4 linked regions of the Caenorhabditis elegans genome follow. The protein of the gene in region 1 purifies or fractionates together with the protein of each later gene. This does not show direct contact. Each region holds a gene or a part of one and is shown in the gene's direction. Other genes may lie near its edges. The genes, in order: ugt-49, rsp-3, csn-3 and mrps-26.

Region 1 (8,222 bases):
AGATTATATCTCATTAGAATTGCGGTTTTTGTCTAGTCGACTAATGTGATTTGTTCCAGGAAAATACTACAAACAATAAATTTTTAGTGGAAGAGCAAAAAGTTAGAACAGTATTTAATAAGTGGCACAGAGTGATAATGTCAGATCAGTCAATATTTGAAATTCAATTTTCTTGATCTAATTGTCACGTATTTTAGCAATAAAACAAATACGAAAGTTGTTAAAGCCAAAAAAGATTTGGAGCATAACTCAGAGTTTTCGAATTACAAAGTTAGTTTCCATTTTTCTGCATACTCTTCCATATTCTGATATCACAAGTATTTAAGTACATTCTCTCATTTGATCCCCCGCGAAGATTACGGAGCTCCTCCCCTTTCTTGCTATAAATAACGCTCACATCGACAAAAATTGTTAATATGATCATGTTCACAGAAGCTGAAGTTATGAGTTTTTCATACGCCGTTGATTTTGGAGTTCCCGAATGGCTCAAACTTTACTATCACGTCATTTCCGTGGTGTCAACTGTTATTTCATTTTTCTCAATGTACATAATTTTGTTTCAAAGTGGGAAAATGGATGGATATCGATTCTATCTATTTTATATGCAGGTATTCCATAATTATAAAAACAACTATTTTTGATACAGTTTATGCATTTTCAGTTTGCTGGATGGTTGATGGATCTTCATCTATCTACTTTTATGCAGTTCATTCCATTATTCCCAGTTTTTGGAGGATATTGTACTGGACTCTTGACTCAAATTTTCAGAATTGACGATTCATTTCAAACGGTAGCAATATCAAATAAAATTTATTGAAAAAAAGGAAATTAAATTTTCAGACATATACTGCATTTACCATTTGCTTGGTAGCCAGTGCTTTGAATAGTTGCTTTGTTCGGAAGCATCAAGCAATTTCTAAAATCAGCTCTAAATATCTTCTCGATAATGTTACATACTGCATTGTTATATTTCTACTCAATATATATCCAGTTATTGCTGCATCTTTACTTTATTTGAGCATGCTCAATAAGTCCGAACAAGTTGAATTGGTGAAATCGGTAATTGAATTCAAAATTAAATTCACGAATAATTATTTTTGTTTTGCAGGTTTACCCAAATCTCGTTGATAAATTTGCAAGTCTACCAAACTACGTGGTATTTGATTCCAATATATGGGCAATTGTATTCTTTGCATTCATATTTTTTGGTTGTACATATACACTTGTTTTGATTGTCACAACTACTTATCAAATGTTCAAAATATTAGACGATAATCGAAAACATATCAGTGCTTCAAACTATGCAAAGCATCGAGCCACTTTGAGAAGTCTTTTAGCTCAGTTTACAACGTGTTTCTTGATTGTTGGTCCAGCGTCTTTGTTCTCTTTACTGGTAGTTATAAGATATGAACATAGTCAAGGTATATATTATAACACGGCATTCAATATAACACATACTATTTCAGTAGCAACACATTGGACCATTGTTGCTCTAACTCTCCATTCCAGTGCAAATGCAATTGTAATGGTTATCACATATCCTCCATACAGACATTTTGTAATGCTATGGAAAACGAACAGGTTCGAGTGTACAGGTTCTAACAATTCAATAACCAAATATATTTTCAGATCATTCCACTTCGCATCATCTCAATATCAACGGTCTACTCTCCCGAATACAAGAATTCAAACGGAGCGAAGTATTGCAGTAACAATAACAACCCATTAACTTCTAATTTCCCGAGTTTCAAACTTGTAAATAAACTTTTTCGTCTTTTGATGATACTGTTTTATTATTTCAAATTGAAAGTTCCAGATCTCTTGAGCTTCTGTGATTTCACTCATTTCGATAACCCGGAATCGAAATTTTACAAAATTCATATTGCAAAAATCCGATTAAATTGTTCATTAATTTTTTAATCCACTTCCGTTTTTTTCAGATATTTACAGGGCATTTGAAATAACAAATACAATTAGAATTTTGACAGACGTCAATAGATTTCTGTGTTTTGTATTAGATTTCGTATTTTATTAGCACAATTCGAAGTTATGAACTTGAGATATGGCAATACTTCAAAATGAGAATTTTTGCAGCCAGCCAATTCTTCTAGTATCTAGCACATATGATGTTCTCAAATCAATAGGACATTCAAAAATATTTCAGACAAAGAATATTTCAGACGAATGGATTACATTTGTAAAAGTTCAATGAATTCAACAAAATCAAATTATTGAGACTTCGATATCATATGGATATTTGGATTTTTTACATTTTGAAACTTCCATAAAGGCAGCAAACTGTATTTCTCCAATTAGTACATATTTATTTTTCATTTGGTCTTATTGAGTGCCTGTTCTGTTAAGAAGACTGTTAAGACTAACAAAGGATATATTACGATTTTGAGACTACTCATTTTTGGTACACCAATCGGAATTTTAAGTAGGAAGGCACCAAAAATAGGGGCGAAAAATGAGACTATAAACTGATAAAACATATGTATTGGAAATCTTTGGATTTTTGCGGTTTGGTGTTGCAAAAGTAGCTATTAGAGTGCAGTACTAATAGGGATTTCAATGAAATTCAGTAATAAGGTAGCTAGAGTGTATGCGTTACATGTTCTGTATACATCTGAAATATATATTTCAGATAGGAAAGCTGTTTGTATTTGTTTGCAGAGAATAACCCGAAACCCTTTTCAAAGTTCAAAAATCGAATAAGTTATTTTTCGAAGGTTTACTACATTTGGGATTTTCTGAAATCATTATTGTCAGGACCTGAGACTAATAGTAAGGATGTACCAACTTGGCAGATAAGATATGATTTACAAGTGTAGGTAAATGGTATATCTAATAAATAAGTGACAGTCCATAATAGGAATTTGATATCTTATCTATACTTGCAGAAGATTATAGAGTTTTTCCATCTTATTTAGACGCGTATGTTTCTTCCATACTCTTCAACTTTCTAACTCATTTTTTCATGATATCAAAACTTAAGAATTAAAAACCTGAATTTTCGTTCTGGCATTCAGGAATCATACCTTACCCCACAAAATTCCCTCGTTTGGTAAACTTGTTTCATGTTTGCCAACAAAGTACGCCCAAACATTTTTCTCAGGATCTTAAAATCGCTCAAAAATTCCCATAACCATTCTCGCCGTGTCACATGTAGTTCAATTATTACAATTCACAACAACCATCTGCGTCTCTCTCGTATCAGTAATCTATTCTCGGGTTCTACCTATCAAACAATCTTGTTCCCGTGTCATTTTCTATTCTTGTCATCAGTCACTATTTGTCCAAAAACTGTCAATGTATCAGTGAATGGTTGTGTTTTCTCTGTATCACCATCTAATTCTTATGTCTAACCACTACAAGCACTCACTAGAAATAGTCTACAAAACACGGTATTTTTTAGAGTAGATGTTTCGACCAATAAGTCAAAATACTGTCGAGATCATTGTTGAATCAATTTGTGCCAGACGACATCTGCACTATTTTTTTCCTAAAGAACAAGTTACGAACAAAGTTCTCCCATAATGCTTCATTTCCTTTCAGTATTAAGAAGTGAAGAAACCAATTTTTTAAAAATATCAAAACTTAAAAAATTAAAGACCTGCATTTTAAATTTTTCTATAAAATATGGGTTATTCGAGTTTGTAAAAGTGAACCATCAAATGTAATTTCAGATTTCTCATTTTGTGATTTCGTAGGTGAAAAAATAATTTTCATATATTTTTTGTTCTTCATTCTCCAATGAATTCTGATTCATTGAAATGAAAATTGTTAGGGTGCTACTGTCTGCCATTTCTCTCCCTTCATATTTCATTTCTGTTTCCGCTGCCAATCGTTCCATGATTCGATTATTTTTTTCATTTTTCACTGTGTGTTTCTCTTGTTTTTTTTAATTTTTATTTTGTTGAATTTCTAGTACTATTCATGTGAAAACGTGGTTCTTTGTAGCTTCTTGAATTTTATCGACCTTTCACTAAATTGATAAAGGTTCGATGAAAATGGGTATAGAAGAATTTATAGATAAGACACACAAAGTGTTTTTAACAGTAAGATAATTGTTATATTTCACGTTCGTATTCGATTTTTCGAATGTGCATTCTATTGAATCTTTTTTTTATTTTCAGTAGTTTCAGGAGTTGATAATACGTGAATTTGAACGTTTTGAATTTCAGATCCATCTTGGGCATGTATACCTTTTTATTTCTTCTCCTATCTCTTCTAGCAGTTGATGCAGGAAAAATTCTTGTGTACAGTCCATCCATAAGTCGGAGTCATTTAATTTCAAATGGAAGAATTGCTGATGCACTCGTTGACGCAGGTCACGATGTTGTTATGTTCATTACTGAATATGAACCATTAACTGAATTCACTGGAACTAAGAAGGCTAAAGTTATCACTATGAAAGGATTTAGTGAGTTATGATTTGACTCTAACAACACTAAAAACACTGTTTCAGGTACAAAGTTTGCTGAAGACATGGATGGAATCGGAGAATACCTATTATCGAGCTCCAGATTAAGCTTTTTGGAAAGATTAATGTTTGAGAAAACGTGCACAGGCGCGTGTGATGGTGACAAGACCCAATATTATTTTCGAAACATTTTTTAAAATTTAGATTTAATGACAAGACGCGAGGAATTAGAACAACTGAGAGCTTACAACTTCGACGTGGCATTCAGTGAACAAATTGATTTGTGTGGAGTTGGAATTGTCAGATATCTTGGAATTAAAAATCATTTATGGATTTCAACTACACCAATTATGGATGCAGTTAGTTATAATTTGGGAATTCCAGCACCAAGTTCGTATGTTCCAACAATCGAAGAAAATGACAATGGTGATAAGATGGATTTTTGGCAGAGAACTTTCAACTTGTATATGAAAATTGGTTCAATCCTTATTCATAGATACGGAACTGATGGAACTACAGAGGTAGTTTATTTTAATTTAACCTAAAACTAATCTTTTTCACTAATCACAGGTCTTCCGTAAGTACATCCCAGACTTCCCAAATGTCAGAGAAATCGCTGCAAACTCTTCACTTTGCTTTGTAAATTCCGATGAAGTACTTGATTTACCAAGACCAACTATCACAAAAGCAATTTATGTCGGTGGATTGGGAATTCCAAAAGTTAGCAAACCACTTGATAAGGTTACACAATATTTGATTTTAAAATTATCTGAATATAGTTTTTTAGAAGTTCACAAACATAATGTCAAAAGGAAAAGAAGGTGTCGTAATCATTTCACTTGGTTCAATCATACCATTTGGAGATCTACCAGCAGCGGCAAAGGAAGGGGTATTGCGTGCAATCCAGGAAATATCAGATTATCATTTCCTTATTAAAATTGCCAAAGGTAAATAATTGACGGTTCCAGAGTACATCGAATAGTGCAGAAGCTTCAGAAGAATTTAAAAATAAATCCCCCATAGTAATTTGTCAAGATACTAATTTTTTGCAGGCGACAATAATACCAAGAAATTGGTCGAAGGAATTAAAAACGTGGATGTAGCTGAATGGTTACCACAAGTAGATATTCTTTCTCATCCAAGATTGAAGCTTTTTGTAATGCATGGAGGAATTAATGGATTAGTTGAAACAGCTATCCAGGCAGTTCCAACTGTAATTGTTCCTGTTTTTGCTGATCAATTTAGAAATGGACGAATGGTTGAAAAGAGAGGAATTGGCAAAGTTCTTCTGAAATTGGATATTGGATATGAAAGCTTCAAAAACACAGTTCTAACAGTTTTAAACACTCCAAGTTACAAAAAAAATGCGATAAGAATTGGGAAAATGATGAGAGACAAGCCATTCAGTCCAGAAGAACGCCTTACAAAATGGACACAATTTGCAATTGATCATGGCGTTTTGGAAGAGTTACACGTGGAAGGATCAAGATTAAATACAATTATTTATTATAATCTTGATGTTATTGCTTTTGTCCTATTCGTGTTCGTTGCTGTTCTTCACGTTTTCATTTATGCTTTCAAGTTTCTGTGCTGTAAGAAGAGATCTCAGTCGAATATTAAAAAATCTAAGAAAAATAATTAGCTGATATTTATAGTCTCTTTTAATAAAAATATTAAAAATAAATGTTATTTTCCAGTAGGTGTTCAGGTGAATTAAGCATACAAGACTTAACGAAAATAGAAAGTAGACTTTAATCTTTTCTACAATGTTATGGCCTCATTCTAAAAATTTTAAAAGCGTCAATGTGGTACCGGCCGGTATTTTTTCGGATTCCAGACAATCTGAAGTCTGGCTTTTGAATTTCTATTTGTTTCAAACTGTTTGTGGCCCAAAACAACGGGTTAAACGAATCGTGCAAGAAACGGAAATTCCAGACAGCTTAAAAACATCTTCCACTGCTAGATTTTTCAACCAATGCCTTAAAATTGAAGAAACCACTTTCTACCATCAATTAGTGTTCCAATTATTATCATCTTTTTTCCTGTTGAAAATAAAACATTCTGCGTTTACAAAGCACGACATTTTTCTGCCAAAAACCGTAGTTGACAACGAGTAGCACACCGCCAGAATGAAAAAGTTATATAAATTGATAAACTTCAGGTTGTATACTTTTCAAATGTTCTGTCTTATTATATTGCGGTTCAGTTCTAATCAGTTTTAAAGTATTTTGGAACCCATTTTAAATTTTTATTCTAAAAAATTATTGATTTAGAAAAAGTTGCAGGTGACTGTTATGACCTTATTAGTTATTCTTCTCCTTCTTCTTGTTCTTTTTCTTCTATTCTTGTGTACAGTCCATCCATTAGTCGAAGTCATTTAATTTCAAATGGAAGAATTGCTGATGCACTCGTTGACGCAGGTCACGATGTTGTTATGTTCATTACTGAATATGAACCATTAACTGAATTCACTGGAACTAAGAAGGCTAAAGTTATCACTATGAAAGGATTTAGTATGGTGGTACGTGGATTGTTAAAATTTGATTTGAAATTCAGGTGAGAAGCACAATGATAATTCAATGGACGATATTGGGGAGTACCTTATTACTAATCCAAGAGCAAATTTTTTGGAAAGGATTATGTACGAAAAATGGTTCTCTGATATTTGTGATGGTAATTTGTTTCAAAATTTTGAACACCAAATCGAATATTTTAAATCTAGATTTAATGGCGAGACGCGAGGAATTAGAACAACTGAGAGCTTACAACTTCGACGTGGCATTCAGTGAACAAATTGATTTGTGTGGAGTTAGAATTGTCAGATATCTTGGAATTAAAAATCATTTATGGATTTCAACTACACCAATTATGGATGCAGTCAGTTATAATTTGGGAATTCCAGCACCAAGTTCGTATGTTCCAACAATCGAAGAAAATGACAATGGTGATAAGATGGATTTTTGGCAGAGAACTTTCAGCTTGTATATGAAAATTGGAGCTATCCTTATTCATAGATATGCAACTGATAGCACAACAGAGGTAATTTGGTATATCTAGCAGCGGAAAATATGTTTTTGGTTACAGGTTTTTCGTAAGTACATCCCAGACTTCCCAAATGTCAGAGAAATCGCTGCAAACTCTTCACTTTGCTTTGTAAATTCCGATGAAGTACTTGACTTACCAAGGCTTACTATTACTAAAACTATTTATGTTGGTGGTCTAGGGACTCCGAACATAAGCCAACATTTGGACAATGTAATTTTTTAAATTTAGATTGAGCTACATCCCGAAACCAAAATTATCCAGGTATTTGCCAAAATAATGTCCAAAGGAAAACGAGGTGTTATAATAATATCGCTAGGATCATTTGTGCAATTCGGAGATTTTCCAGTTAATATTAAAAAAGAAGTGTTCCGTGCAATTAGTGAATTGTCAGAATATCATTTCCTAATTAAAATTTCCAAAGGTAGATTTTGAATTTATTACAACAATGCAAGATAATTCATTCAAGATGACACGAACACTAAAACGTTGACCAAAGAAATATCCAATGTTGATCTTGTTCATTGGTTTCCACAAGTTGATCTTCTCTCCAATCCAAGATTGAAACTTTTTATAATGCATGGAGGAATTAATGGATTAGTTGAAAAGTTCTTTTGAAATGGGATGTTGGCTAGCGATCGTTTAAAGACACAGTTTGGGCAGTTTTAAAAACTCCAAGTTACAAGAAAAATGCGATAAGAATTGGAAAAATGATGAGGGACAAGCCATTCAGTCCAGAAGAACGCCTTACAAA
Region 2 (7,699 bases), on another chromosome or scaffold:
GTGGCATGATTACGGAAGATTGAGCTACCATCTCTCCATGCTCGTGATAAAATTGAGCCTGTAGCGACACCCAATAGGCCAGCCATGCATGTTATGATTCCGAAGATTAGATTGATTCTGAAAATTAAATAATTTGGAGGTGGAGTGGTGTCAGAATTTTTTTTTGCTTTAAATGGCAGAAAATAGACCGTAATGGGCCAAAATAACTGTAAAAAATAATTTTTTTCAGCAAATCAGCAAATTGCCGGAATTCAAAATTTCCAGCAAATTGGCAAATTGTGGTTTTGTACATTTTTTTGGGAATTTCAGAATTTCAATTTTAATCGGCAAAATTGTATGAATGTTCCTACATCTATTTTGAAAACTTAGCGAATTCTATGAAAATATCTAAAGAAAACAGGCAAAAATTTCAAAAAAGCACCGTTCTACGTGTTTCGGTCATATAAAAACCCTATAAGCATTTCCAGCAAACCGGCAAATTGCTGAAAATTAAGATTTCCGGCAAACTGGCAAATTGCCAGAATTTAAAATTTCCAGCAAATCGGCGAATTACCGGAATTTAAAATTTCCGGCAAACCGGCAAATTACCGGAATTTAAAATTTCCAGCAAACTGGCAGATTGCCGAAAATGAAAATTTTCGACAAATCAGCAAATTGCCGGAATTTAAAACTTTCAGCAAACCGGCAAATTACCGAAAATGAAAATTTCCGTCAAACCGGCAAGTTGCCGGAATTTAAAATTTCCAGCAAAGCGGAAGATTGCAGGAATTTAAAATTTCCGGCTAACCGGCAAATTGCCGGAATTTAAAATTTCCGGCAAAACGGCAAACTTCCGGAATTTTAAAATTTCCGGCAAACTGGCAAAATGCCAGAATTTAAGACTTCCAGCAAATCGGCAAGTTGCCGGAATTGAAAGTTTCCGGCAAACCGGCAAATTGCCGAAATTTAAAATTTCCGGCAAACTGGCAAATCGCCGGAATTTAAGATTTCAAGCAAATCGGCAAATTGCCGGAATTCAACATTTCCAGCGAATCGGCAATTTATCGGAATTTAGAAATTCTGGAAAACCGGCACGTTGCCGGAATTTGCCGGAAATTTTTTTTATAAATTAATTGTTATTTTTTCTTATTTTTTTAAACCAATTTTCCATGTTTTCAGGTGCAATTTCACTTTAAATTTGAAAAAAATAAATAAATTTAATGCAAATTTTCGATTGAAAATATACTTAACAAGCGCAAAAAATAGTCTTCAATTAGATTTTTTTCTCAAAATTTTCACACAAATTTTCGACGAAATCACGTGCAAAAATTGTGTTGTCATCTAAAAAAAAATATTTGTTTGAATTCAAAAAACCCTACTGTGTAAGCTCCGTCTCCGGTACTTTTGGCACATTATGAATAACTGCATACGAGAATCCAACGTATTGTGGAGTCCACCAGCTCATTGTTCCAATTGAGAAGAATGAGGCAATTGAGGCGGCCGAGGCGAGGTAGAATGTTTTACTACAAATTATTAATATTTTTTTTGTTAAATAACTTTTTCTAGCGATTTTATTCATTTACTTCGAAAAAATTTCGATTTAAGAAATTGAATTTTGTAATTTTCTTTTTAAAAAAGTTTGAAATTTTTTTTTCAATTTGTTTCGACAAAATCGAGCCAAAAAAATAGAACATTTTTAATTTTTTGCTTCAAAACATGTCTATGGTACCACAATGACCAAATATCATAGTAAAAAAATTTTTTTAAATTTTCTAAACTATATGATTTTTTGAAAATTGAAAAAATCTCAGTTTTTGCCTAATTCCCATTTGAATTACCGCCAATCGTTCGATGTTCGATGGAGCGCGGTTGCCTCTGTTTTAATTTTTATTTATCAATTTTTCTTATTTTTGATTGATTTTTCATGTTTTTTCGAGTAATTTTACTGGAAATTTAATGAAAAATTCAAGATAAATGTAAATTTTTCAAGCCTAAATCTTTGAAATAGATTATTTCAGGCTCAACGTCGTTGGAAAATGTTCTTTCTCTGTTTTCAATTATTTTTAGTGAAAAATTTACATTTATCTTGAATTTTTCATTAAATTTCCAATAGAATTACTCGAAAAAAAACATGAAAAATCAGTCAAAAATGAGAGAAATTGTTAAATTAAAATTAAAATCATGCAAGCGCGCTCCATCGAACATCGAACGATTGGCGGTAATTCAAATGGGAATTAGGCAAAAACTGAGATTTTTTTCAATTTTCAAAAAATCATATAAAATTTAGAAAATTTTAAAAAATTTTTTTACTATGATATTGTGGTACCATAGACATGTTTTGAAGCAAAAAATTAAAATTTTTCTATACACCCTATTTATTCTCCTGATACCGAATATCAATGTGAAAAAATTAAATAGAAAAAAATCCCTGATTTTATATTAATTTTTTTTAATCCGAAAATCCATTGGCTACCTATTGTTAAATTAAAATATTCGAATTTCAAATATTTTTCATTCATTTTTTTAATTTTTTAAATTTTCACAGCGATTTTCTCGTTGTTTTACTTTGAAATCCTAGTGATTTTCCATTAATTTGTAACTTTATTAATATTTCATGCAATTTTGGCTGTTTTAATTGATAAAAAGTCAGAAATTAATGGAAGTCATGAATTTCAACGCAAAACAATGGGAAAAGATTGAAATCGATTTTGAAATTGATATGAAAACGGATACCAATGGATTTTGGGATTTTAAAAAATTAATATAAAATCAGGGCATTTTTATTGAATTTAATTTTTTTTTCAAATTTTGTCCGAGTAAATTTTTTTTTTTTAAACAATTTTTTTGAATTTTTTTCCTAATAAAAACTAACATAGACGTAACATAGTTTTATTGCTTTAATAGACTCAAAATTGTCTGAAAATGCCGAATTTAATAATGAAACTACTTGAAAACTTCTCAAAAAAAAGTTATGATGGCTCAAAAAATGGCCTAAAATTAGTTAAAATTTGAAATTTGACTTGTTGCAGCGGCTGGAAACTAACTTTTTTGAAATCACCGTCAAATTTTAAGTATAAAATTTAATTATCTCGCGTTTTCAACTTCATTTATAGGTATTTCAAAGCCGATGGACGGCGAAATTTGGTTTCAAAAATTAAAAAATCTCGCTGTCCATCGACTTTAAAATACATAAATGAAGTTGAAAACGCAGGATAATTACATTGTATACTCAAAATTTGACGGTGATTTCAAAAAAAAAAATTGTTTCCAGCCGTTGCGACAAGTCAAATTTCAAATTTAAACTAATTTTAGGCCATTTTTTGAGCCGTCATAACTTGTTTTTTGAGAAGTTTTCAAGAAGTTTCAATATAAAATTCGGTGTTTTCAGACAATTTTAAGTCTAATAAAGTAATTTTTTAAAAATATCCAACTACACCACTTTTAAATTGTTAGTAAAAAAAACTATTAGATCATTTAAATATAAATTTTTTAATCTCAAATTTTCGAATTAAAAAAAATAAAAATATAGAGACGCATTTTTTTAAATTAAAAATGAATTTTTGTTGCTCGAAAATGTCGAAAAAATAGTCCCAAAAACTTAAAAATCACACTATTTTTGAACTTTTAAATAAATTTACACTTTAAAAAATTCCGCAGCAACGCATTTTTTTTCTTCAATTTTTCCGATTTTTTTAATCAAAAAAAATTCTGATAATAAGCACACTAACATGGACATCAAGTACTTAATATCGCCAATCAAATCAGCTTCATCTCCATTCTGCCGTGCTCCATCACAAGCTCCCCTCACTGGTTCATCCAACAACCATAACATCAATCCAAGACAAGCTATTCCAATAATCGGAGAAAATCGAACACCCCATTGCCATGAATCTGTTGCCTGTGAAATACTTGACCCAGAAATGAATCCGAGACCACTTCCAACTGGAATTGCAAAATAGAACATCATCAGTACTCGACTTCTGAGGCCACCACTGAATAGGTCTGATAGGACGGTTGGAGCGATTGTGGAGTACGAGGCTTCTCCGATTCCAACAATTCCGCGGCACAGGAGAAACAGGTAGTAGTGCTAAAATTATTTAAAAATTAAAAAAAAATCAATTTTTTAGGGTAAAAAAACGCATTATTCACGAAAAATTGTCCCAAAAATCACCATTTTTTGCCCATTTTTCATTGAAAAAGTTTCTCAATTATCGCCTTTTGCATGTTTTTTTTTCCATTTTTTTCAGGTTTTTTAAAGCTAAAATTATGGCTCAGGGCCTGCGTGAAATCAAAGAGCATAAGGCGCAGATTGAGGCAGGCGAAGGTCACCTTGAGGTCAGGCAGGCAGGCGTTTCAACGCCTACCTGGAAGCCCTATCTTAAATGGCCGGAAATCAGTATTTTTTGGATTTTTCAAAAAAATTGAAAAAAAAACTCCATTTTTTCTGATTTTTGGACATTTTCCGCTTTTTTAAGAATATTTTTCACAAAAATCAATTTTTTGGAGAAAAAACGCATTATTCACTTGAGGGATTTTTCAAAAAAATTGCAAAAAAATTTTTTTTTTTTTTTTTAGTTTTTTCTCAGAATTTTGGACATTTTCCGCTTTTTTAAAGAATATTTTTCACAAAAATCCAAATTTGTGTTCTTTTTTTGGTGAAAAATGCATTAATTGCCCCAAAAAACTCAGATTTAAATTTTTTTTCTTCAAAATTTTGAAGCACTTTTTTTTTTGATATTCCAAAAAATATCTTAGAATTTTGGTAATTTTTCCGCTTTTTATAGGAATTTTTTTACAAAAATATTCTTTTTTTTCTCTTTTTATTCGATTTTCGCGGCAAAATATTCAGAATTTGTGTATTTCCAGTGAAAATTTGCCACAAAATAGCATTTTTCGCATGATTTTTGCAAAAATTGCCAAAAAAAGCGTTATAAACGTCATTTTTTATCTTCTCTCTTCTCGGTGTCATTATTCCATTATTGGATTGACCTCTAGAGCCTTCCCATCGGGCTCATTGACCTCCAGACCGCGATTTTCCCGCGTTTTTGGCTCCGCCTTTTGATCTACCACTGGAAGTGGGCTCAGACTGTCTTAGTAATTTATTCCAACATTATTTCCTTTCTATTATCGTTTTTTTCCCTTTTCCCTTACCCCTTCCCCACAAAAAGACGATGCAAAGACTGCTAAAATCCATATGCAAATTCCAGTGATCATTAGCATTTTTCGATTGTATCGATCACCCAAATATCCGAATAATGGCGCGAAAAACATGTAGAACACAATGAAAACTGTCTGAAATTATTCGGTTTTTAATTAATATTCCACAATTTTATTCAATTTTTACTTGCAAAAGGCCTTGCCCCTTATCGTCGATATCGAAAAATGTTGCAAGCCGCGACATAACTCCCACGATTGTGTATCGATCCATGTAGTTTAGCAGGTTTACGAGAAGCAGAATGGAACAAGTAACCCATTTCTTCTTTCCAGCAAGTCGGGAGGCTGAAAAAATCAAGTTTTTCGATTTAAATAATTAAATTTTCGATTAAAAACTCACCAACGTCCAAACCACTGCCTTCCTCAATTTCATTTGGCATTTAGAATTTCTGAAATTTATTATTTTTTCTTATTTTCTAATAAAAAACCGAAAACCACAAAAAATAAAAAAATACGTGACTAAAAATAACGCAGGCGCGCTCCACCGAACTCGTTCAAACTTGGCGGGAGAATGCTCATATGACGCGTTGCGGTCGCGTCGCGGTCGTTATTTTTTCGAAAACGAAGGCCGTGGCACACTCATTTCTTGTTTTTTCAGACAATTTTTATTATTTTTTCGAAGAAATGCTTGAGAATATTCATTTTTCTAAATTTTACTCGATTCTGGGTTTCTTTTCAGTCAAGTAAATGCAGTAATTTGAAGGATTTTAGGCCCAGTATTTTTTTTATTATCAATAATCTTCAGTCGCCGATTTTTTGCAAATAATCATAATTATTTCTTCATTTTCAGTGTACTAAACATGCCACGCGGCGGCTCAGAGGACCAAAAAGTCTACGTTGGCAACCTGCCAGGAGACGTCCGAGAGAAGGAAGTCGAGGACATTTTCCACAAGTATGGCCGCATCAAGTACGTCGATATCAAGTCAGGACGTGGACCGGCGTTCGCTTTCGTCGAGTTCGAAGATCACAGGTTCGTTTATTGATTTCAAATACTTTAATTAATCAATTTTATTCCAGAGATGCCGAGGATGCGGTTCGTGCTCGCGATGGCTACGAATTCGATGGCCGTCGCATTCGCGTCGAGTTCACTCGTGGAGTCGGACCACGTGGCCCAGGCGGTCGCCCACTCCAAGACGGAGGTGATCACCGCGGTGGAGACTTCCGAGGAGGACGTGGTGGTGGTCGTGGAGGTGGACCTCAGAGAAGAACCGGATACCGAGTGATCGTTGAAGGTCTTCCACCAACCGGGTCGTGGCAGGATCTTAAGGATCATATGCGTGATGCTGGAGACGTCTGCTATGCGGATGTGGCTCGAGATGGAACTGGAGTCGTCGAGTTTACTCGTTACGAGGATGTCAAGTACGCTGTTCGCAAGCTTGATGACACCAAGTTCAGATCACATGAGGTGAGTTTTTACTATTTTTGAAACTATAAAATAAATCAAAAATTGAATTAAATTTTTCTTTTTCAGGGTGAAACTGCCTACATTCGCGTTCGTGAGGACAACTCTTCTGGAGGCGGAAGCGGTGGTGGTGGCCGTGATCGTAGCCGTTCGCGCTCTCCAAGAGCCGAACGTCGTGCTTCGCCAAAGTACTCACCTCGTCGTTCTCGTTCCCGCTCTCGCAGCCGTTCCCGCTCTCGTTCTCGCTCGGCCAGTCGCAGTCCATCTCGCTCACCATCTCCACAATAAAGAGACAGCGTCTGATTCTTGAAACGGTATCGTTTTGCAATTTGAGTCGTCTGACAGAGAGTTCTGATACAACTATATCTTGCTAATTTCTTTTTTTTTGTGCTGTTTCTAATACAATTCCATGCCTCATGTTCTCCTGTTTACACACACCTTTTTCTTTTTATCGATCTTTTTGGATATATATATCCACAATTTCTTCTATTTTTTATCACCTATCCTTAATTCAAACAACCACATCCAAGTATTCATCAGCCCCACCTATTATTATTCAATAATTTCTTTTGTTGGAGGAACCACGAATAAAATGTTTTGTTTCAGCCTCCACTCCGCTTCATTCAAACTATTGGAGGAAAGGAGGAGGACTCTATAAGGAGGGAAACTAAAGGATCGCTGGACGATCAAAAGCGGGGACACACCATATCGATCGAGGATCGAATCGGTTTTTACACGATTTTCGAATCGACACACACACACACACACACACACTAGGACCCCCGGAAAAAGGATTTTATGGGAAAAGTTTTGGATTTGCCCCCTGGGTATTGTTAGGAACATAATTTAGTTAAATTTTGACCTGACGAGAGTAAAAAGAAGGAAAAATTTTACAGTTTTGGGTTCGAAAACCCCGAAATCTATTAGGAAAATCCCCTCGAATATGAGAAAAAACTAATCCGCCATGTTCAGGTGAGCCGGTGACCCGCTTCCCGGCTCACAAAAATGAATCAGCCAGGTGAGTTTCGACTTGGAATTTCGAATAAAAATTTTGAATTTTTGACTTGTGTTTTTACTTTTTTAAATTATTATTGAAAACAGAAA
Region 3 (8,936 bases), on another chromosome or scaffold:
CAACTGGATCTTCGAACATCTGTACTGTTCGATCAAGAAGTACTCTCCCGACTACGTTCTCTCCGTGTCGCGCTTCTCGTCGTCGATTTCCAGAATGATTTCGTCGATGGATCCCTCAAAATCGGAGATGGCGACGCTGGACAGGAGCCAAGCTCAGCGATTACACCACTCAACGAGCTGCTTCAGCTGTCGTCCTGGGATTTGGTGGTCTATACGAAGGACTGGCATCCACACAATCACATTTCATTTTTGAGTCAGGCACATAATTCGGATAGGGTTATGGATGAGAAGGATGAGAATAAAACTTTGGGATTCTTTGATTCTGTGCAATTTTTGAAACCAATCAAGACAGAACAAGTTTTATATCCGGATCATTGTATTCAGAAGAGCTGGGGATCGGATATTCATCCGGAAATCTACATTGCGGACAACGCAGAGTATATTATGAAGGGAGTCGACCCATATCTGGATTCCTACAGCGCTTTCAACGATAATAACGGGCGGTCCAAGACAGAGCTTGAAGATTTGCTGCGTCGCGAGAATATTGACGCAGTTGTGATCGCCGGACTCGCCTACGATATTTGCGTTCGGTTTACTTGCCTGGTAAGGGTTTTTTAAAGCTTTTCTAACTGAAAACCGTTTAAAGGTGGTGTATTCGAATTTTTTTTATTACCTTATTAGACTCAAAATTGTCTGAAAACAACGAATTTCATAATGAAACTTTTCAGAAAAAAGTTATGACGGCTCAAAAAATGGCCTAAAATTAGTTAAAATCGGAAATTAGACCAACTTATCAATGTCGCAGCGACTGGAAACTATTTTTTTTTGAAATCACCGTCAAATTTTGAGTGTACAAGTTGATCATCTTGCGTTTTAAACTTCATTTAGGTATTTAAAAGTCGATGGACGGCGAGTTTTGGCTCAAAAAAATTAAAAATCTCGCCGTCCATCGATTTTTAAATACCTTAATCAAGTTTAAAACGCAGGAAATCAACTTGTATACTCAAAATTTGACGGTGATTTCAAAAAAAAATTGTGTCCAGCCGCTGCGACATTGATAAGTTGGTCAAATTTCCGATTTTAACTAATTTTAAGCCATTTTTTGAGCCGTCATAACTTTTTTCTAAAAAGTTTCATTATGAAATTCGGTGTTTTCAGACAATTTTGAGTCTAATAAGGTAATAAAAAAATTCGACTACACCACCTTTAAAAACACCTCAAAACTTTAAATTTTCAGGACGCTGTGAAGCAGAACTTCCTTGCCGCCGTGATCCCGGAATGCAGCGCTGGACTAACGAAGAAGGGAATCGAGGAGTCTGAGATGGCTTTCAAAAAGCAAGGCGTTGCGATGATCTCAAAAGACGAGGCACGTGGAATCACGGAAGGCGGTTTTCTGCCGAGAGAATGGGTTCAAAGGATCGTGAAGAAGTAGAAGTAATAATAAAATATTGTGCATAATTTTGTAATTCTTTTAAAAATATTTAAATAAACGTTTTTTTTTCTTAATTGTCGAAATTTTCGTTGAAAAGTTCAGAAAAAAGTAATTTCGCATCAAACGACGCTCCGAAATAACGCGGCCGCCAGCACGATTTCTCGGCCACGCGCCGTGTACTCCTCTCGAAGGAACCAATTTTGTAAACAAAATTTCAGCGCATTTCTTATTCCTGAAATTTCCTGTTTTTTCCCCGATAATTTAACGATTTTTCCATTTAATACTTGTTAGAAATCACATTTTACTCATATTTCCTAATATTTACCACTGAAAACCAGTATAAAACTCGAAATTGCTAATTTTTAATCTATTTCGTAAAAAAATTAGTTTTCCCCCGAAAACATGTCTAGAGACGTGAGTTTATCACCGAAATCTGGTGATATTCGGTTTAACGGCACGGAGCCGCCCGTCAAAGTGGAAGTTGTGGATGAAGAGCAGGTGGGCAGAAAAATCGATTAATTAAAAAAAAATTTTGAATTGTTTTCAGAGTTCTCTCAACAATCAATTGGGATTTTCGACGACACTATCGACGTCTTTTGTGCTTTCCGAAGATCTCTCGGAGTCCATCGATGATCTGACAGTTACTAGCAAGGCAAAAACGTTTTTATAAAATTAATTTTCAATAAATAAATTTCAGGACAAAAAGAAATTGCGGCCTAGTAAAGTGGCAGAGGACATTGGTCGCAAACGAAAGGATACTACAAACTCCATAACTAATTTCTTCCATCGATTCACGCGCGGAGACCGTGAGGAGAAGAAAATAGTTGAAGAGGAGGAAGAAGAGCACGTGGAGCGTCCCGAGAAGCTTATAAGCCCGGAATCCGAGGAAAAATGGTTTGAATCGAGAACTCTGGACGAGAAAGTGCTCGGACACGAAGGAGACGCAGATATGTACGAATGGGATCCAAATACAATGACAGAGACTCTTGTTCGGGAGCCTCCATCGCCTCTGGAGCCCAGTAGTATGATATTCGAGGAGAAAGGAATGCTGAAACTACTGGAAGATTTTCGAAATGGTGAGCTCCGATGGCTAGATGCTCCACAGATTTCTGCGTTGGGAAAAGTGAAAGAAGCGCATGAAGATGTGTCGAATATTCATTTACAAGTTTATGAAATTGAGTCGGCTAGGAGGAAAAAGAGAAAACAAGCGAGGAGTGTCAAGGAGAATTTTGAATTTGTAAGGAAAAATTCGGATTTCCATAAAAAAGGGATTAATTTGTGCAATTTTACGAAGAAATCGGGATTTTTGGAATGTAAAAAGCTCAATGTGATCTAGAAAATGTGTTTTTGGCAGGATTTTCCTTTTTTTTTAAATCCGATTTTCAGTCTATTTTCTAGCTAAACGACTCCGAAGATCTCTCAAAAAACTAACAAAAAATGCGACAGACGCCAGTTTTTTAATCTGAAAAAAAGCAGAAAGTCCCAAAAAACGGTCCCAGGAATCACAAAATATCTGTTTTGTGATATTTAGCGCTGCAAAAAATAAAAAAAACTCGCTGAATGCAATATTCCAATAGCTTTTTACCTTTAAAAAACTCAAATTTTCATTAAAATCATCAAAATTCTGAGAGCCTCACCCATAAATCCTTAGCCTCACCCAAAAATCATGAGAGCCTCAACCAAAAATCCTGGGCCTCAATCAAAATTCCGGAGAGCCTCACCCAAAAATCCAGAAAGCCTCAACCAAAAATCCAGAGAGCCTCAACTAAAAATCCAAAAATACTAGAATATACTAAAATTCCCCATATTTTCAGTCGGATTCGGATGATTCAGAAGAAGAACGAGAAATCGAACGATTATTCGAATCGATGAATACTCATATGATTGACATGCATTCTGCACTCGATACCGTACCATTTTACGACGCTTCTCAAAATCAACGCACTGAAAAAATCGATAACGACGAGGAGTATTTTTCGTCTTGAATCGATCATGTTTCCTGAATTTTTCACGCATTTTCTAATTTGAAAATTCTATAATTTTGACCCAAATTTCTTCGTTTCCAGCTAATATTTGCATTTTTTTAGGGCATTTCTCACAGTTTTTCTCGAAAAATCCCCGTATTGTCGATTTTTTTTTCGAAATTTTTCCGAGCAGGAAAATATTGTGAATTTCACCTGTTTTGAGGCACCACGGATTCAAGATCAGCTGGGATTTTGGATCTAAAATTTCCGAAATTGGCACCGTGCCAACGAATAAAACGCTATTTTTCTCGAAGAAAAGCGTGACAACGATGCTCCGATGTTACGCGTCGCGTGTTGTTTAGCGTATTTTCTATAAGTAATTTTCAAAAAAACAGCGTTTTATGCCTGACACGGTGCTTTTTCGGTGATATTTGAACTGAAATACCCTAAAATTTTCGTGATTCCCTCTATTTTCTAGCAAAGTTTTCTCTTTTCCCCAAATTTTACCCATTTTTCACTAATTTCTCGGTATTTTCCTGTACAAGCTCGATTTTTACTCAATTTCTATATTTTTCTCGGTTTCTTCTCTAAATTTTCTCACCAATCGCCATTCCCTGTGCAATTTTCTCTTATTTTTTCGTATATCTTCTCTTACTCGTTTCTTGTCACACATTTTCACGATAAAATGTAAATATTTTCAGATATCACAGGAAAATCCCATTCACAAAAGGATCATGACAAGTAAGTTTATTATTTAACCTGTAAATTTTCTAAAAAAATCGGAAAAGCTTTTTCAGCTTTTTTCAATAAGCTCTTCACGGGAGCCTCATCATCATCGTCTGCAGCAGCTTCTTCTGGAATGGATCTTGGTAGTATGGAGTCATTGTGTGCTGCGATCAATGAGCTTTGCAGTGAAAAACATGGTAATTTGGAGGGTTTTGTTGGAAAAAGAAGAAAATTAGTGATTTTCTCAATTTTTCAACTTGAAAATGTATTTATTCGCTGAAATTTTCGGGAAATTTGAATGATTTCATTCAAAAACCCATCGAAATTCTCGTAGAAGTTCGTGAAAAATTGATGAATATCATCTGAAAAGGGATCGAATTCCGAAAAAAAAGAGCCAAATTTTGCTGACATCTGAAATTTTTTCTTTGTCCCCAGTTTTCTTTGTCGCAGCCACTGGAATTTTACTTTTCTGAAATTATCACTCTTTAATCTAAGTTTTATTAGTTTATCTTGTGTAAATTCATTGATTGAGACAATTTTAAACCGTGAGGCATCCAATTTTTATCATTTTTGGATGTCTCTTCGCTTAAAAATTGTCTCAATCAATGAATTTACACAAGATAAATTACCAAAATGTGAATTAAAAGTGATAATTTCAGAAAAGTTGAATTACAGTCTCTGCGACAAAGAAAACTGGGCAAAATTTCTGATTTTTGCACTAATATGCCTTTTTTAATTTTGACCTCAACCAAAAAATCATGGTAGCCTCAACCAAAAATCATGGTAGCCTCAACCAAAATTCCGGAGAGCCTCACCCAAAAATCCAGAAAGCCTCAACCAAAAATCCTTAGCCTCAACCAAAAATCCTGAGCCTCAACCAAAAAATCATGGTAGCCTCAACCAAAAATCCTGAACCTCAACCAAAAATCCTGAACCTCAATCAAAAATCCTGAGCCTCAACCAAAAATCATGGTAGCCTCAACCAAAAATCCTGAGCCTCAATCAAAAATCCTTAGCCTCAACCAAAAATCCTTAGCCTCAACCAAAAATCATGGTAGCCTCAACGAAATATCCTGAGCCTCAACCAAAAATCCTGAGCCTCAACCAAAAATTCTTAGCCTCAACCAAAAATCATGGTAGCCTCAACCAAAAATCCTGAGCCTCAATCAAAAATCCTGAGCCTCAATCAAAAATCATGGTAGCCTCAACCAAAAATCCTGAGCCTCAATCAAAAATCCTTAGCCTCAACCAAAAATCATGGTAGCCTCAACGAAATATCCTGAGCCTCAACCAAAAATCCTGAGAGCCTCAACCAAAAATCCTGGTAGCCTCAACCAAAAATCCTGAGCCTCAACCAAAAATTCTTAGCCTCAACCAAAAATCATGGTAGCCTCAACCAAAAATCCTGAGTCTCAACCAAAAATCCTGAGAGTCTCAACCAAAAATCATGGTAGCCTCAACGAAATATCCTGAGCCTCAACCAAAAATCCTGAGAGCCTCAACCAAAAATCCTGAGCCTCAATCAAAAATCCTGAGCCTCAACCAAAAATCATGGTAGCCTCAACCAAAAATCCTGAGCCTCAATCAAAAATCCTTAGCCTCAACCAAAAATCCTGGTAGCCTCAACCAAAAATCCTGAGCCTCAATCAAAAATCCTGAGCCTCAATCAAAAATCATGGTAGCCTCAACCAAAAATCCTGAGCCTCAATCAAAAATCCTTAGCCTCAACCAAAAATCCTGGTAGCCTCAACCAAAAATCCTGAGCCTCAATCAAAAATCCTTAGCCTCAACCAAAAATCATGGTAGCCTCAACGAAATATCCTGATCCTCACCCAAAAATCCTAAGCCTCAACCAAAAATCCATACAAAATTGTTGAAAATTTTTTGTTTCATTATTAAATTCGGTGGTTTTGGACCAGTTGTAGTCTATTTAAGCAGAATACCCACAAACTGTAATCCCGCTTTAAAATAAATTTATTAAAAAATTTGTTTTATTTAAAAAAAAATTCAATTTAAGGATACCGTCAAGCCTATTTTTTCCAGAATTCCGCATTAATTTCCCGTATTTAGTTTCAGAGAATGTTGGTGAACTGGCCGCTGGAATTGTTCGTAAGAATAAAGAGCTTTTCGAAAAGAAATCGAACGATGTTGAAGCATTTTTGCTTCATTGTAGTCCAAATGTTGGTTCAGCTGCAATGGTTGCTGCAATTAAAGGAATGTTTGATACGTCGGCTGCAAAAAATAATGAAACTGGAACAGATCGAGCTGTTGAGCTTCTCAATCATTATGTTGATGAGAATAATTTTGTTGGAGGACATTTGAAGCTTGTACCTGAAATTAGTGAGTTTCTAGATAAAATTGAGAAGAAAAACTGGAAAATATGGATGATTTACATGGAATTTATGCGAAAAATCTAGATTTAAAGAGAAAAATGCAGCTTCACTTCGCCGAATTTTCCGTTTTTTTTTAAAGCAGAAAGTCAAAGACGTCGGATTTCAAAGGAAAATAAAAATAAAAACTTGAATTTAGAGAAAAGCTAGGCAAAAATAGAAAACTTAACTGAAAATTTCTCCTTCTTCCTATAATTCTTCCTAAATTTTATTTTTTTTTTCTCAATTTCCCTCAAAAATCTATAAATTTCAGACTGAAAATTAAAAAACTAAGAACTTCCTAATTTTTCGTCCTCAAAAAAATTCGAAAATCCGAATTTTTCCACAGAAAAAAGTTGTCTGAAAATGCATTCTTTAGTGAAAAAATGACAAATTTTAACGATTTTCTTGTAAAAAGTCACTTTTCCATAGATTTTTTTTTCACTTTTTGAATGGAGCAATTGAAAAATCTTTCAAGAAAAATTGAAAAATATTGGCAAATAAGCTCGAATTTAAAGAAAAACTAGGCAAAAATTGAAAATTTAACTGAAAATTTGATTTTTTTTTAACTTTTAAAATGTAATTTTTTCCAATTTCCCTCTAAAAAAAATTTTTTTTTCAGTTTTCCCACTGCTCCGCGACGTCGGCTTATATTGTTTGGAAAAGAAGAATAAACCAGAAATAGGACAAAGAATTATCATGAAAGCACTCGGATCAATGTTCCCAAGAAATGGCTCAAATGCTCCAAATGTGCTCACTTCTGCACACGGTGTGCTCTTTGCGTGTGCTCTTGAAACAAAGGATTATGCATCTGTTGAACCATTTATTGATCTACATGTTGATGAGATTGCAAATGAGAATTGTATTCAAGATCAGGAAAAGAGTGATAATAGAGAACGAGATTTTGGAGATGTTTTTCTTGGAAGAATGAAGGTGCATTATGGAAGAAAAAAGAAATATCTGGAAATTTGGATATTTTCAAATTTTCGTGTGAAAAAACCTTTAAAAATGGGTATTTTTTGTAGGAAAAAAAGTTAGAAACGTTATATGAAAATACATCATTTTTTGAGGTTTTTTACACGCAAATTTGGAAAAAAAATGTCTAGAAACTGATAATTGCCCCCAAAAACAATATTTTTCAATTCTTTTTGGATTAAAAACATTTTTTTAAAAACTGAAAAGTTAACGAAAATTATACATGTATAATTATATTTAAACGATTGTTTTGAATATTTACACTGGATTCTCAGTGAAAGCTTACGAAAACCAATTTTTTCCGAAAAATTCGGAAAAAAAGTGCGAAAAAACGCAAAAATAGGATATTTTCAATTTTTTTCTGTTCCAAAAAACTTTTTTCAAAAAAGCTTCCAAAACACTAAATTTTTTTAAAATTGCTTGGTTTTAAAAACATTTAAAAAGCTGAAAAGTTAACGAAAATTACAAAAATATTTTTATAAGTTAAAAAAACGCGATTTTCTGAACATTTGCATTGGGTTTTCAGTAAAATCTGAAGAAAACTATATTTTGAATATTTTTTTCCGAAAAATTCGGAAATAAGTGACAAAAAAACGCAAAAATGGGACATTTTCAATGTTTTCTGTTGCAAAAAACTTTTTTTTAAAATAAAATCTGAAATTACTAAATTTTCGAGCTCTTTGAGTTTTGAAATATTGCAAAAAAAACCTGAAAAATATGAAATGAAAATTTAAAAAATATATAAAAATTTGTTTAAAAAAAAATTTATATTAAATTTTAGTCTGGTTTGTAAATCCACATCAAAATGTTTTCTTGAATTTTTAAAAATAAAATTTGAAATTACTAAAAGTTTTCTGAAGTTTATAAATAAAAAAAACCGAAAAATATGAATAAAAAATGAACATCAAAAAACTAAATTCGTTTAAAGAACAAATTTTATATGGAATTTTTTGGGTTTTTCAGTTCAAATTGTTTTTCTGGATCTTTTAAAATTATTTCAGAAAGGCGCCGCATTCGGTTCACAGCCAGTGGCACATAATCCTCATCTTCATCCAAAATATGTACTTGATTATCTCTACAATGGAGCATGTATTCTCATTGAGCTTAAACGTTTCGAAGATGCTCTTTTCCTGCTCGAAATTTGTGTCGGAATGCCAGCGTTCTCGGTTCAGGATCAACATTTGGATTCGTTCAAAAAGTACTTTTTATGCAAGAATTTTTGCGAGAAAAAGAGGAAATATCTCAGGATTTTTCTTTTTACAAGCCAGAAAAACTAAGAAAAACTTCAAAAATTCCCAGTTTCTAAAACCAAAATTTTCATGCAAGTTTGTAGTGAATTTTGAAAACTCTTAACCATGAAATTTCACGACAAAACTGAATTTTTGGCTAAAAATCCGGGATTTTGAGTGAAAATTGGCTGAAAAACGGTCATTTTCAGAGGAAAAAATGCTCAGAAAATAGCATTTTTAA
Region 4 (8,155 bases), on another chromosome or scaffold:
TTTATATTTATTTTCAGTGTTTGGGTTCAACTTCCGTCTGCAATTGAAAAGTGCAAAGATTATGACGCTTTCACAATAGAACATGTTGATTTATGGACAATTTGGGCCGATTTCCGGAAGAATTGTGGTAATTTCAGTGGTGTTTATTTCCAAGTGGCTTTGACGATCTCTTCGGAACTTCCCGATGAGCTTACTGAGCTTAAACTTGTGGACCGTTGGAAGGCCGAGCCCCTAGCAGCTTTTGTTATCGAATCGGGTCTTTTTATTTCTGGAAGAAATGGAGAAGCATCAATTCCAAGGTAAATTTCAAGATTACATTTTCAAATAAATACTAATTTTTCAGTGCCCACATAAATTTATTAAAACATCTATGGACAACTGATGCACTTCGGATCGTTCTTCGTGCCACAACGGATACATTCAAGTACAATACTTCTATCAAATCCGAGTATTCTCAAGCTCTTCGTCATGCAGTTCGAAATGTTAATTACCGAAGTCGTCCTGATGTTGGAGAAGGATCGAATGACTCCACTCATTATCTTAATGTTATCGAATACAAAGATGTTTTGCAAGCACCTCTTCAACCATTGTCTGAAAATTTGGATTCAGGAGTTTATAATACATTCGAGCAGGATCAAATTAAATACGACGTGTATGGAGAAGCTGTAGTTGGAGCATTAAAAGATCTTGGAGCTGACGGAAGAAAAACTGTTGTCATTTACTTGTTGGGAGGAGGACGTGGTCCTATTGTGAGTTTTTGGCTATTAAGTAGAAAAAGTCCCTTTTAATTCGACATGAAAACATATTTTGTGGCCAATTGAAAACACTCCACCCCCTGACCATGGGTCTCGTTTGGAAGTTGGCGACAAGCCGGAAATTCAAACATTTTGCAGTTAATTTTGCCAATTGTCTGAAGCGAACTGCAACATTTTTCAATTTACAGTTTTTCGGTCTAAATGAATATCAAAACGGGCATTTTTATGCGTCTCCATAGTTTTAAATATTATAAATTTCAATTTTTTTCAGGGAACGAAAATTCTGAAATCTGAAAGAGAATACAACAACACATTCCGACAAGGCCAAGAAAGTCTCAAAGTGAAGCTTTATATTGTTGAAAAGAATCCAAATGCAATCGTCACTCTGAAATATATGAATGTGAGAACATGGAAACGACGAGTAACGATTATTGAAAGTGATATGCGAAGTCTGCCGGGAATTGCGAAAGATCGTGGATTCGAACAACCTGACATAATTGTTTCGGAACTTCTTGGAAGTTTTGGAGATAACGAGTTGAGTCCTGAATGTCTAGATGGTGTCACTGGATTTTTGAAGCCAACAACAATTTCAATTCCACAGAAGTACACTAGCTATGTGAAGCCAATAATGAGTACTCATATTCATCAAACAATTAAAGCTCAAAGTATTCCTTATTTGAGTCGTGCAATTCCATCGCATGGTAGAGGTGAACCGGAATTGGATGAAGACGAAATGTGGATTCAAAAATACCCGTTTGTTTTTCAATTTTTTTATAAAAATATAAACATTCTGCCTTATTACCCCGATGCCAAATTTTGCTAGTCCCGGTCTCGATTAGACAAAATTTTTAAAATTAAAAAAAAAATTCAAACAAAAATCTTTGTTATATGCGAAAACGTGTGCACCTTTAAACTATACTGTAATCTAAGACTTGTTGCTGCAGAGTTTTTATTAATTTTTTATAGTTTTTTTTGGTTGGCATTTTATTATTTTAGTTTAGTTTTGATAAATTGATATTGATTTTTATTTAAAAAACTATGAAAAATCATGGGATATTGAAATTACAGTACTCTTCAAAGGTACAAAAAGTTTCGTATTAACGAATATTTATCGTGTAGATACCGGGTACCGTAATATTAGAAAAAGTATCGCTAAAATTCATGTTGTGGTAATAAATATTTCTGAAGTTTTCTACTCTTGTGTACATAAAGGCCCTGGCCGAGTACACGGAGGTTTCTAGGCCATCTTTTCTTGACGGGAGTATCCGCTCCACAAGTTATGCTTCAATTTACTCTTATTTTAGAATAATTTTTAATTAAAAAAAAAGCATAAAAACTTTTTTTTTAAATTTTAATAAACATTTTCTTTCAGACAAGGACATGTTCGTAACAATATGGATCAAATCTACGTTGTATATCTTTCAAAATACATTCCACTTGCCGAAACCACCAAACCAGTATTCACATTTGAACATCCAAATTTCATGAATTCAAGCAATGAGAGAAGCGATTCTATTGAATTTGTTATGGATAGAAATGCAGATGTAAGTTTTTCAGCAAAAAAAAAAAAAAAAACTTAGAAATTCTTAAGAAAATTTAAAAATATTTTTTCGTTGATTATTTGAGGTAATTTGCTTATATTAAATGCAAAATTCGCACAAATGACAGTCCACCTTTGAAAATAAAACAATGAATTGAAAAATTTTATTGATAAAATATGTGTTTATTAAATTAAAAATCAAATAAGTTAGAACCTAATTTATTTCAGCTGATGGGATTCGCCGGCTACTTTGATCTTCAACTCTACAAAACCGTGATGCTTTCAATTGAACCATCAACTCATACACCTGGAATGGTCAGTTGGTTCCCAGCTGTTATTCCACTTAGAGATCAATTGAGAGTTGGAGAAGGTGACAGAATTTCTCTGAAAATCGATCGAAAAGTTGACAATACTGGTGTGTGGTACGAATGGCATGTTGAAAAAAAGGTAACAGTTTTTGATAACTTATTAAGATTATAGTTGAGTTTTTTCCAGAAAACCAATGGCGAATCTGTGAGCACCCCGATCCAGAATCCAAATGGAGAGAGCTATTACATGAGAATGTAGTGCCTAGTTTTTCGCTTTTATAATTATTATTTTCCTGTTTTAATCCTAATTGTTGATGTGTTATTCACTTTTGCGCCCCTATTGAATTTCCCAATCATTCCTAGAATTTTTTCCGTTGGTTTTCCCATTTCCTGTTGCCCATTTTCCGGTTCATTAATTTGAAGATTCTTTTTTGCTCCGGTATCTATCGCGATTCGATTGTTGCTCCTTTTAATTCGATATTAATTGTTTAAAAATTCAGTTTTTAAGTTTCCGTTAATTTTCCGAATTAAAGAGCTTGTTTTATTCTGTTGTTTTTTTGTAATTTTGAATTATAGTTATTAGTTTTCATACTAAAACATATTTTTATAGAGATTTTAAAGTTTTCCCAATTATTTTTCATTTAAAAATATTTTCAGAATGTTGATAAACAGTTCTCGTTTATCAATTTCTTCAACGGGACGATGTCTTTTGGCATCTGCCATGTCACAAATGGACGAAGTATTCGGAGTACAGAAGAGACAAATGGGACGACGGCAACCAAAGCAGGGAAAACCACCAATTTTGCCTCCATCGAAGAAAGTGAGTTCTATTGATTTTTTCACTAGAACAAAAATTGGAACATAAAAAAATCCAATTTTTGCCGAAAAAAATGCGCCAGCGGGGCTTTTTCCCAAAATGACAGAAAATGTCTCAATATACCGAATATAACTGTTAGAAAATTTACAGTATTTTTCTAACTCCTTAAAAATGGGTTTTTTCAGTCTTGCAACAAAAAAACGTGCAACTTTTTATTGAAAAATTTAGAAGAATTCTATAAATTTTTAACAGTTTTAAATTTTGTTACTCTTATCTATAAATTCACAAAATTCAGGTTCTCTACCACGTTGTGCATGCTCCATGGCAGAAACCAGAAGATGTCGAGGAGCTCCTCTGGCGTCGTCATGCATACAACAATGCAGTTATTTCACTTCGAGAAGTATTCCGTGCAGAACTTGCTCAAAATGCATCTCATGGTCAGGGTATCGAAGCAATGAAAGAAGCAGAAGCACTTGAATTAGACGAATTAATTGCTCAAAATGAGAAGCGGAATGAAGAAAAACGGGCGGCACGTAAAGAACGAGAAGCCGAAGATGCGAAGGAAACAAAATCTGTAATTTTGGAAGAAATTCGAGTTGAATTGGAGAAAAGAAATGCAGGCAAAAAGCAGGCAGAAGATGAAGTTAAAAATGCAATTTCTCGTTCAAGTGAATTCATTACTCGTTCAAATCTTGAAACTAAAATTCTCGAAGCACTCGAAAAGCCAACAATTTACGATTTTGCAATTGATCGGGCTGGGAACAAGTATTTCGTACCTGAACCAGTTAAATATCAAGAAGGAACACCAACTCGACAAAAAGGACGATTGTATGATCAGACATTGGGTACACAACATGGAACTATCGAAGAAGCTAATAAGATACAACAGAAAAGTGTTTAGAGGACATGATGTGAGTTATTTTTGAACATCGAAAAATAAAAATAATAAAAAAATCTTCTAATGTAGTAATATTTTTGTTTTCAAATTTTTGAATTTTTTGAAGAAATGAAATTTTCATCTCTGGTAATTTCTCTACATAAAAATCAACTTTTTTTGATAAGTCTATAGACTAGACTACTATATTTCCTTACAATTTTTTCCAGTTTTACGAATTTCAATTTTTCAGTTCGAAAATCGAAAATTTTTCGACGACATCCATGTTCAATATAAACTTGTAGTTTGTGAGAAAAAAATATGAAATAATTGGAAAAGTGTTACACTTTTAAATATTTTCTGTAATCAATATTTTCGTTTACCTAATAATTTACTTTTTTTATTTCAGATTTGCCATTTCCCCAACTGGTCATCATCATTCTTCCCAAAAGGGACAACATTGTAGTCTACACACATTTCTTCCTAATTCGGATGATAACACTATAAGATAACTGTTCTCTGTCTCCGTCTCTTGTTCTCTCTTTCTCATTATTTTTTTTTGTATTCTATTTCCCTTTTTGAGTTTATACAAATTATATCAATTTTTGTTTTCTTTTTCTCTGTTTCAAATTCCAGTTTTCTAGACATTTTCCCTTTAGATAGACTTTTGCTGTTATAAGTTTTTGATTTTTTTCATAAATCTACAATCGTTTCATTTTACTTTCTTTAATTTGACTGTCTAAAATATTCGGATTTCAGCCGGTTGAAAATATCAGAAGAATGAACACATATGTGGCTGAAATTGGGGAAATTGTGAGATCTCAGCGAAGAGATGAAGAGTATATTGAAGATATTACAGAAAGATTGAGCAGGGTAATTAAAAAATTAGATTAGATTTTTTTTTTGAAAATTACGGTGCCTGGTCTCGACACGACAAAATTTTGTTAAATGTAAAAGGGCGTGCGCCTTTAAATTCAAAGATTACAGTAATTCACAATCTCTTTTTGCGGAATTTTCACAGATTTTTCCACAAACACATGACATTTAGAAAATAACTTTAAGTAACAACAATCGGTTGAAAATTTAAGAAACTACAGTACTATTTAAAAGCGCACACATTTTAGAATTTAACAGAAAATTTGTCGCGACGAGAATAATCCAATTACACAACAGGAATAAGTCAAATTGCCAAACTGTTTTTGTGATAAAAAATTAGTTATTTGAATTTCTTAAATTTCTAGGTCAGCAAAGAGCTTCTGGGCCAACGTACGTGGATTCGGTGGTTTCCGTATTTAAAATCCATCGCATCGACTCTTTATTATACGAGCACAGTTGTATTAGGTCAGAATATTAATATTTCAATCATAAATCAAGAAATCCCATTTTCGTTCAGGAAATCAAACTCTTGGCGAGGAATACGTTCATTTATTTGAATCAAACGGTCTTGAACGAACAGTTCCATCGATTCCATCACGGATTTCTTTTGTTCTTCTTCATTCAGCATTTCCATTAATTTCAAATTATTTGATTCAGGTGATTTTCATAGTTTCTTTTTGAAAATATTTGTGAAAATAAGTTTACAGAAAGCAGAATCAACACTTACACATCCATCAACTGAATCATTTCTTGGAATTCCGATTCGAAAAAATCAAAAAGCTCGTCAATCATTTCTTGACGTGTTTTTCTGGTTGAGAACTAAACTTTTTCCACAACTTCAACGTGCTCATATTGCTCTTTTCTATATAACTGGAGCATATTATAGCATCGCCAGAAGATTCACTGGAATTCGATTTTTATCAGCCAGTGCTCATTCGGATATTCCTGTACGTTAAGTGGATAGTCTCATTTTGGGTCCCGGCACGAGTGAGACTTTCCAGCTACCGTACTCCCAATCTAGATAGATTTTCAAAATTTTATTGGGTTTCATTACCCAGACGCGAATTATTACAGTAGTCTTTAAAGGCGCACACATTTTTAAATTTAACAAAAAATTTGTCGTGTCGAGACCGGGTACCGTATTTTTGCCACAAAAACATTAAGCTTTTCAATATTTAAAGTTTTCAGGCGCTGAAAGTTTATCGATTCCTTGGTTATATAACATTAATTCAATTGGCAGTTAGTATTGGAATATCATTATATTCATTTCTAGAACAGGAGAAATTCAATAATAAATTGAAAAAGGAGAAAAAAGAAAACAACGGAGGATCGGATAGGAATCTAGACGAGAATTCGGTGAGTTTTTCACGAGCATATAATAATTTTGAAATAACAATTTCTTTCAGCTATTTCATCCAACATTCCAGTGTTCAATTTGTCTTGAAAACAAGAATCCATCTGCTCTTTTCTGTGGACATTTATTCTGTTGGACGTGTATTCAGGAGCACGCAGTAGCTGCCACGTCATCCGCTTCAACTTCATCTGCTCGTTGCCCACAGTGTCGATTGGAATTTCAACCTCGTGACGTCACGCCTTTACTTAATTTGTAATAATGATATTTTCTGGAAAATTCACTTCGCATCTCTTGAATTACGGGTTTAAGGTATTTTGTAACAAATTTGAAGAAAATGAGAAATTATGATTTTCAGCCAAATAATCTCCGTTTACTTTCCACTTCAACTCATCCAACAATATATTTCACTGGAATACAACCAACTGGAATTCCACATCTCGGCAATTTCTTTGGATCTATTGAGCCATGGACTGAACTTCAGAATTCTGTAGATAAGAATATTCTTATGATGTTATCTGTAGTTGATCAACACGCTATTTCACTTGGACCACTTCCAGCAAATGAGGTTGGGGAGAAATTTATCAATTTTTTCGTTTTTTTTTCGGAACAAAAATGTTTGATTTTCCGGGAAATCGAAGAAAAATATGTATAGAATCATTGGAAAACGGAAATTTTAGATTTTTAGATTATTTAAATAGAAAAAGTAACAATTTAGTATCGAAAAAAATAATGTTTTTTTTCTATTGAAAAATTATTTTTCAAAACTATAAATAAAATATTTTTATTTATTTTTTAAAAATCGAAATTTTTGATTTTTCAATTTTACGGAAAATCGAAAAAATTGAACAAAAAACAATATATTTAAACTTTTTTTTTCTTTTTGGAAAATCTAAAAACAAATGTTTAGAAAATTAATAAAAAAATGTTTACAGCTCCGCCAAAACACTCACCAAATGACAGCAAGTCTTATTGCATGTGGTGTTGATCCAAACCGAACTCTCCTTTTCCGACAATCAGATGTTCCTCAAATTGCCCAAATTTCATGGATTCTTGGTTCACTTCAAACAACTTCAAAACTTGCAAGACTTCCCCAATATAAAGAAAAAAAAGAAAGATTCAAAAAAGGTGATATTCCAGTTGGACTCCTTACGTATCCTCTCCTTCAAGCAGCTGATGTTCTTACATTTAAAGCCACAACAGTTCCAGTTGGAGAAGATCAAAGTCAACATTTAAATCTTCTTGGAGGACTTGCTTACGCATTTAATAAAACTTATGAGACTGAAATCTTTCCGATTCCAAAGCAGTTAACACGAGAATCTCATGCAAGAATTCGATCATTAAGAGAACCTGAAAAGAAAATGAGCAAATCATCAGGAGGACCGAGGAGTCGTATTGAGGTAATAATTTCACATTTCTTACTGAACAAAAACATATTTTTTGGAACAGCATTTAAGAAATTGACACTTTGAATCAAGAATCTAAACTATAGCAAGTTTCATCTACAGTACCCTTTTCAGATCACAGACAGCCGTTCCACAATTATCGAGAAATGTCAAAAAGCACAAAGTGACAATGCTGGAAAAGTGACATATGATAAGGAAAACCGGTTAGCTGTTTCCAATTTGGTATGT

What was found.
Region 2: the proteins of ugt-49 (region 1) and rsp-3 fractionate together in Caenorhabditis elegans (co-fractionation; one large-scale study listed by BioGRID). This does not show direct contact.
Region 3: the proteins of ugt-49 (region 1) and csn-3 fractionate together in Caenorhabditis elegans (co-fractionation; one large-scale study listed by BioGRID). This does not show direct contact.
Region 4: the proteins of ugt-49 (region 1) and mrps-26 fractionate together in Caenorhabditis elegans (co-fractionation; one large-scale study listed by BioGRID). This does not show direct contact.

Annotation. Positions count from the first base shown.
Region 1 is NC_003283.11:10,368,140-10,376,361, forward strand, and holds ugt-49 (UDP-glucuronosyltransferase), read left to right. Parts: upstream 1-4,181; 5' UTR 4,182-4,200; coding exon 4,201-4,426; intron 4,427-4,471; coding exon 4,472-4,585; intron 4,586-4,630; coding exon 4,631-4,947; intron 4,948-4,996; coding exon 4,997-5,167; intron 5,168-5,213; coding exon 5,214-5,373; intron 5,374-5,478; coding exon 5,479-6,068; 3' UTR 6,069-6,122; downstream 6,123-8,222. Other genes in the region: sri-20 (Serpentine Receptor, class I), read left to right, coding at 417-608, 662-790, 841-1,059, 1,109-1,421, 1,467-1,581, 1,630-1,729.
Region 2 is NC_003281.10:12,686,201-12,693,899, reverse strand, and holds rsp-3 (putative splicing factor, arginine/serine-rich 3), read left to right. Parts: upstream 1-5,983; 5' UTR 5,984-5,993; coding exon 5,994-6,163; intron 6,164-6,210; coding exon 6,211-6,598; intron 6,599-6,664; coding exon 6,665-6,883; 3' UTR 6,884-7,199; downstream 7,200-7,699. Other genes in the region: spin-4 (Major facilitator superfamily (MFS) profile domain-containing protein), read right to left, coding at 1-117, 1,359-1,502, 3,708-4,066, 5,131-5,271, 5,324-5,478, 5,534-5,573. UniProt on the Caenorhabditis elegans protein: Plays an essential role in embryogenesis.
Region 3 is NC_003282.8:190,648-199,583, forward strand, and holds the start of csn-3 (COP9 signalosome complex subunit 3), read left to right. Parts: upstream 1-4,094; 5' UTR 4,095-4,130; coding exon 4,131-4,137; intron 4,138-4,193; coding exon 4,194-4,319; intron 4,320-6,192; coding exon 6,193-6,462; intron 6,463-7,113; coding exon 7,114-7,424; intron 7,425-8,467; coding exon 8,468-8,664; intron 8,665-8,936. Other genes in the region: pnc-1 (nicotinamidase), read left to right, coding at 1-603, 1,238-1,432; intk-1 (INTaKe), read left to right, coding at 1,835-1,930, 1,980-2,084, 2,130-2,669, 3,247-3,417. UniProt on the Caenorhabditis elegans protein: Component of the COP9 signalosome complex (CSN), a complex involved in various cellular and developmental processes.
Region 4 is NC_003281.10:5,231,357-5,239,511, forward strand, and holds mrps-26 (Small ribosomal subunit protein mS26), read left to right. Parts: upstream 1-3,260; 5' UTR 3,261-3,261; coding exon 3,262-3,423; intron 3,424-3,715; coding exon 3,716-4,321; 3' UTR 4,322-4,331; intron 4,332-4,703; 3' UTR 4,704-5,008; downstream 5,009-8,155. Other genes in the region: prmt-5 (Protein arginine N-methyltransferase 5), read left to right, coding at 18-299, 344-749, 1,027-1,508, 2,128-2,299, 2,524-2,742, 2,791-2,862; prx-10 (Tryptophan--tRNA ligase, mitochondrial), read left to right, coding at 6,783-6,833, 6,880-7,089, 7,457-7,921, 8,042-8,149.